Linked DNA regions of Mus musculus. The protein of the gene in region 2 purifies or fractionates together with the protein of the main gene of each other region. This does not show direct contact. Links are inferred from orthologs where the notes say so. Each region holds a gene or a part of one and is shown on either strand. Other genes may lie near its edges. The genes, in order: Snrnp70 and Gemin2.

Region 1 (3,109 bases), on a different chromosome or scaffold from region 2:
TCTTAAAATCTATCCAAATGACACTAGCAGTTTGAGACAGATGTCAAATGTGGCACATGAAGGCAATGTTAAACATCAATTCCTGTCTCTAATGCCTGTCACAAGTTTTCATTGCCCCAAGATTTCTACAGCAAGATGCTCTTAGTAAAACCATAAGCCTACCTGCAAATGTGGCAAACACAGGAATGAGTGAAGTTCCCTTTCAGGACCAGCTATCTGTGCTCTCATGATGTAGATGCTTCTCAGCTCTCTGGTGGTATCTGTCCTTGGTTATATGTAAAGACTTATAAGCCTTAAGCAGCAGATTGGAGTACTATCATTCAGCCCTCAATGGGACTACCTTCAGCCTTTCTTCAGGACTGTGCCAGGCTGGCCCCAGCTTCCTCAGGGCCCACCATACTCAAAGCTCTCCCAGCTGCCTTCCATCCAGAAATGTGTGGGTACCAACTGCTGATGGCTGGCATCCTGCCTCTTTGCCTGCTGTTCTCTCACTTAAAGATGCAGCCTGTTATGAGAGCCAGGGCTTCCCTCTCACTTGTAAAGCAGCTACAGTGCCTGGGAGAACAGCCTCTACTTCAGGTTATAACACGTGCAGTATACCAAAGGGAGTTGAGCAGTAGGAAGTGGCCTTTTGGAAAGACAGCAAGTGCAGTAAGACATCACATGCCCACTATCAACAGAAAATTAATTTTATTTTTAAATCCAAGGGACCGGATTAAAAAAAAAAATCTACCCTCAGAGGCAAGCCAAGGTGGAAAAGGCTAGGAAGGCAGACAGCAAGATTAGGAGCATGTCCACTACAGGCCTCTTCATTCGGGCGCTGCCTCCATCAGATATCCATTCTCTGGGGCCATGTACCCATCACCACCCTCTGCCTCCATGTACATGTCTCGACCATCACTACCTAGCCCTTCCAGCCCATTGTCCTGACCGCTGCCACCCCCACCCCGGGCCTCATCCCTGCCCCGCTCACTGCCCCGCTCCCCACGCTTGTGCTCTCGATCCCGATCACGGTCTCGGTCCCGACGACGTTCCCTCTCACTCCGGTGACTACGTCGCCTCTCCCGGTCTCGATCCCGGCCCTTCTCCTCTGGGCCATCAGGGCCTTCAGGGCCAAGCTCTCCAGGAGGCCCATCATCAGGAGCTCCATCACCAGCTTCAGAGGGTTCAGCCATGTCGCCGCCGCCACCACCACCACTGCCACCACCGCCACCACCTCCTCCACCTCGAAGCTCCTCTTTTCGCTCCCGTTCCCTGCGTGCTCGCTCCCGGCTCCGACTGCTTCGTCGCTTTCGGTCTCGGTCCTTGTCCTTGCTACGCTCCCTGGACCGTCGCCGCTCATCCTTGTCTCGACTCCGGGAGCGCCTCCTCCGGTCCCGAGAGCGGGAGCGTCTCCTTTCTCTCTCCTTGTCTCGTTCTCGGCTTCTTTCTCTGCGCTCCCGCTCGCGGTCCCGGTCCCGGTCTCTGTGTGGAAGCGGGGAGGGGCCCGGCCTATATGAGGTTAGCACTGTGTGGCAGGGCACCCCTTGTGACTGCCCTATCCCAAGAAACCAGATGCCCAATCTTACCTCTCATCATATCGGGAAGTGTCATCTCGGCCCGAATGCCTGATATTCACATCTGCCCCACCTCTTCTGGTACCACCAAGGCCACCTCCTACGGGCAAAGGAACACAAGGTCAGTGGAAACAGTACAAAGGGGAAAATCTTAAAGGGGCCTATGCAGCTGACAAAAAAACAAGCACCCCTACTAACTGCCATGGGGCATAATCTCCTGCCAATCACTTCCATGTCCACTGGTTGTAGGATAGCCATGTTATCCACAAGACTTTTACAAAGTGCTAGAGCTGAGGACACCCCAACAAGAACCTTCTTGACTCCCAAGCTGTCCATCTTACCTGAGGCTTGAGGTTTTATTTAGGCTAGTCCACTACCAATTTGTACTTTGAGCATAAAGTCCAAAGTGTGAACTCATAGAAAAGCTGAAAGAAGCTAGGTTTGGGATTGTACCCCTTTAATCTCATACTTTGGAGCAGAGGCAGCCTGGCCCACAGTGAGCTTCAGGTCAGCCACTACGTGGTGAGACGAAACAAAACAAACCCAGAAGTTGGAACACCTGCCACACCTAGATTCCCAGGGTACACTACATTTCCAGCCTTCTCAGCTGCCTCGTGCTCCCCACCTTAGCCATGTAACATTTACCTTCTGAGGAGTGAGCTCACCTTCCTTGTCTCTGTACCTTCTACTTCCCTGTCAGTCTCAAAGCACCAACTCAGACCCTGCCCTGCTCATCACACTATAGCACGCTCCAACGAACTGTTAGAGGCCATCAGTACCTCCCCAACTGTTCAAAGAAAGCACTACCACACCTCCCCAGATTCTGATGTGCCACGAATACTTCAAACTTGCAGATTCAATACGTGGTCTATAAAGGTGATTTTCACCCAACCAATAGCACAAGGGAGCAGGTGACAGTCTTATCTTTCAGACAGGGATCTACTAATGAGCCACTTGCCCCAGTGACTTGGCAAGGAGGGTCATGTCTCAGAATCCCATCTGCCTGTGGTGGTTTCCTGCACCATCCACCTGAAGGTTTAGTGAGGTGGGGCTGTGTTTCACACAGGAGCACAGGCAAAGCGAAGAGGTCAGCCACATGCTAGGCTGTTAAACTAGGTATAGATAACAGGTTGGACTACTGCAAAGCAGGACCCAGACTTCCAGCTGCTGGATCACAGTCTAACAATGAGCTAGGCCATTATCAATACAAGAAAATGTCTATAGTAAGAGTTCTGTAATTTGGGTTGCTTAAAAAAAACAAAACAAAACAAACAAACAAAAAAAACAGGAAACAGCTGCGCAGTGGTGGCGCACGCCTTTAATCCCAGCACTCGGGAGGCAGAGGCAGGCAGATTTCTGAGGCCAGCCTGGTCTACAGAGTGAGTTCCAGGACAGCCAGGCTACATAGAGAAACCCTATCTCGAAAAAACCAAAAAAACCCACAGAAATATTATAAGAACATGTTTTTGTTTTCATCCCAGGTGTGGGCATATGGGACTGCTTTGAATCAGCGGGTTTGCTTCATGCCTATAAGAGGCATGGTTTTGCCAGCT
Region 2 (3,820 bases):
CAAGTTCAGGTCCCAGCACTCATACAGGTGGCTCTCAAATCACCTGAGACACCAGCTCCTGGGATCTAATGCCCCTGTGTAGCCTCTGTAGGTACAAAGCATGTGTGCTTGCCTCCTCACTCGACTCTCTTATAAACTGTTATTCACTTGGCTTGCTATTGTAGAATATATAAAACTGCTTCAAATGAAAGAAAGCTAATGTTTTTAAGTAGCATTTTAAAACATTTCATACTTTAAAAATTTTATTTATTAAAATCATATTCTTAACCAGGCAATGGTGGTTGTAATCTTAGCACTCAGTACTTGTGAGACTGAGGCAGGAGGATCACTGAGTGATTTTTAAAAATTTCATGTATCTCTGTGACTGTGTGTGTATGTGTGTGTACATGGAAGGACTATCTTCAGGAGTTGACTTTCTCCATGGACTTTTTCTACCATGTGGGTTCTGGTGACTGAACTCAAGTTGTCAGGCTTGAAGGCACTGAGCCGTCTGCTGGCACTTACAACGCGTGTGATGGAGGTACCTTCAAACTTAGATGCAGGTCAATCGTGAAGAACAAGGAGTTAGGCACAACATGTACGGCTATAGTAGCTACGCACATGGTTTGGGTGTGGTATCATGAGGATTTGAAGTCAGGTCATTCTGGCTTACACAGTGACTTATAGGCCAGCCTGGCTAGGACTGTCTCAATGTCCTCCACAAAGTCACCAAAAACTAAAATATACTCTCAAGATTTCATGTGAAGGATATGTATTAATTACTCTAAAAATTTCCTAATTGGGCCAGGTATGACTCCCAGCACTCAGAAAACAGAAGCAGGAGGATCTCTGAGTTTGAGGCCAGCCTGGTCTACACAGGAGTTCCAGGCCAGCCTGGTCTACACAGGAGTTCCAGGCCAGCCAGGGTTACACAGTGAGTCCCTATCTGACAAGAAGACAAAAAACACAAAACAAAACAAAAACAAGGGTTTTCTAGGGCTGGCAACATGTTTCAGTGGGTTAGAGCGCTGACTGCTCTTCCGAAGGTCCTGAGTTCAAATCCCAGCAACCACATGGTGGCTCACAGCCACTCATGATGAGATCTGATGCCCTCTAGCTAAAGTGTACTTATAGTGATAAATAAATCTTTAAAAAAAAAGTTCTCTAATTATATGTTTTTCTTTGTTTCTGACTACTTAAAACTTAATATTTAATCCAGGCCCAATAATTTTGAAAACAAAGCAAAACACCAAAACCCTAAAGTGACTCTTGAGAAGTCCACACTGATGTTCTAGGGTGTGTATTCTGAGTGCCTCTTTCTCCACTAGTCTCTGTGTTTTGAATTCATATTAAAATGTTTTTATTAGTTCCTAATCCTGCTTCACAAAATACCCTGATCAGAACAAACAAAGTACCAAGCCCTGAATCCTAGGAAGAAAGGATAACATACACTCAGTACCCTAGCTATCCAGATGACTCTGGGGGGAAGAAGGAGTGGCAAGGCCATCCAGGCAAGGAGACCCTGTCCCAAAATAAAACAAACAAAAACTCCCTTTACTAAAAGAATATCTTTTAATTTATAAGATTATTATATATCTAACACTAAAGAGATAGGAGCCTGGTACATTATTTTACAAACTTGACTGACACTCTCTAAGTCAACCAGCCATGACCTAACTGAGAGCCTGGCAAGCATCTCCTACACAGAATTGGACAGTCCTGATCTTTGCCAGTCACACAACATCTCGGTGGTCAGACTTGTTCTTTTTTTTTTGAGACAGGATTTCTCTGTGTAGTCCAGGCTATCCTCAAACACACAGAGCTCTACCTGCCTCTGCCTCACAAGTGCTGGGACTCGGCTTTGTCTTTCTCAGCCTGTGAAAGAGCAAGTGACTCTCAGGTCATGAGGTACACACAAGCAGGCTGCGGTCTGAATCTGGCAGAGGCTGTGGACTGATCGTTCCGATCGCCTAACAGATGTCTGCCCTCTGTGTCACTTGGTGTGTTTACCTATGGCACCACCTACTTGTACATAATCGATCCCAGGGCTTTCCTCTGTAGACGGTCCAGTGGCCCCTTCAGCACATAACCTTTCACCCAGACAAAATTTTTTCCAGCCTTCTTCATCTTCAGATTTTGGCTGAAGGAAAAAGTAAAAAAAATGAAGCCAACGAAATCACTGAAGGATACTTCAAATGCAAGAAATAAACAACTAAAAATTTTGGCACATTTTCTTAAAAAAAAAAAAAAAAAGTGAAGGTTTCACACATCCTGACTGTTCCCAACACAAAGACGCGGTACTAGTTAAGGACATAACTGCGTAAGTATGCTGCCCTTTAAATCCCTATGCTGCAGCTCTCACTGCCAGAACTGTAGGCTGTGACTGCAGCTGGAGGCATGAGTGAAGTCTAATCCAATCACATGGCCTCTCTATTATTCACTTGTGTGTGCACATAAAGAACAACTATTACAAGGCAGTAATACCTAAGAACACTTTCCAACTTCTCAGCCTTATTTACTTATTTTACTACAACTGATATACCATTAATATTCTATTTTGACCCTGACAACAACATCTACCGTAAATCTCTCAAGATAAGGCTAATTAAAACAGTCATGGGCCAGGCATGAGAACACGCCGGCACTCCAGAGGCAGAAGCAGACAGATCCCCGTGTCTGAGTTAGCCTGGTCTACAGAATGAGTTCCATACCAGCTGGGGTGATATAGTGATACTCTCAAATAAAGAGAAGAAAAAAATATGAACTGGTCCAGACTATTACTATAGCAAATTGATAAACTTACATAATGGCATATGATGAAAAATAAAAATAATAGGAATAACCAATTAACTCTTTAAAGACTAGACTATGGATTATTTCACACAGGTATATACTAGACAATTTAAGCCAAGAAACTCATTTACCATTGCCACATTACTGTCCAACTGTTGTGATTTCCAGTGATTTCTATGCTTGTGTACACTCTAAAGGAAGAAAAATAAATGCTCTTCAAAGAATGAAAAACAAAAAAGTTTTTGTATAAAATTTTAAACATTCACAGAAAATACATACTAATATGTTTAAGGATTAGAACAATTTGGTAACTCACTCATAAATACTTACGTATTTATAATTTTTTAGTCTTAGAACAGAAATACACCCGAAGGAGGTTAATTTCATTAAAAGGGACACTTGCCTGTCGAACAGTTGAAAAATGTGCCACTTGTTGTTGTTGCCACTGAAGTGTTGGAGAGTAACCTTCAGGCGCAGGCTGGCATCCGGAAAGCTGAAAATCAGTCCACACATGTTAGAGTCAATGTTAGTGTTGTAACTAGAATCTTATGTCTAAGATTATATAAGAAAATAAAGGTACATTTTATCAGAGCAGAAAAGCAGGCAGCTCACTTTACAATCTATGTACCAGTTACTAAAACAGATTCTTTGGCATCTTACTAAAAAATACGGACTAAATGATTATGGGTGAAGTCTCTATGAAATCTAAATTCTATGAACTAAGAATATAACTGCCCCCCCCCCTCCCCCGGTCTCATTGGGTAGCCTTGGATGCCTGGAACTCCTTCAGATCACTAGTTGAGGCTGGCCTCAAACTCAAAGAGATCCACCTGTCTCTGTCTCCCAAATGCTGGGATTAAAGGTGTGTGCCACCACCAGCTGGCTGATGATTCTAGAACAGTGAAGAAAAACAAACAAACAAAAAAGAGATATACCCCAAATAAAGAATTTGGGAAGGTCAAAATATACCCAATAACTTAAAGACGTGAAAAGGTCTACTTGATTTCCTTTACTTTGTTGATGGGTGGTGTGATGGTTTGTATATTCT

What was found.
Region 1: the proteins of Gemin2 (region 2) and Snrnp70 purify together in Homo sapiens (affinity purification with mass spectrometry; 5 studies listed by BioGRID and IntAct, counting the BioPlex papers as one, with this or other methods). This does not show direct contact. The link is inferred for Mus musculus from reciprocal best matches to the Homo sapiens genes GEMIN2 and SNRNP70.

The regions. Positions count from the first base shown.
Region 1 is NC_000073.6:45,375,788-45,378,896, forward strand, and holds the end of Snrnp70 (U1 small nuclear ribonucleoprotein 70 kDa), read right to left. Parts: exon of another isoform or gene 3,022-3,109; intron 1,657-3,021; coding exon 1,569-1,656; intron 1,492-1,568; coding exon 810-1,491; 3' UTR 667-809; downstream 1-666. UniProt on the Homo sapiens protein: Component of the spliceosomal U1 snRNP, which is essential for recognition of the pre-mRNA 5' splice-site and the subsequent assembly of the spliceosome. SNRNP70 binds to the loop I region of U1-snRNA.
Region 2 is NC_000078.6:59,016,311-59,020,130, reverse strand, and holds part of Gemin2 (gem-associated protein 2), read right to left. Parts: intron 3,266-3,820; coding exon 3,176-3,265; intron 2,964-3,175; coding exon 2,904-2,963; intron 2,120-2,903; coding exon 2,006-2,119; intron 1-2,005. UniProt on the Homo sapiens protein: The SMN complex catalyzes the assembly of small nuclear ribonucleoproteins (snRNPs), the building blocks of the spliceosome, and thereby plays an important role in the splicing of cellular pre-mRNAs.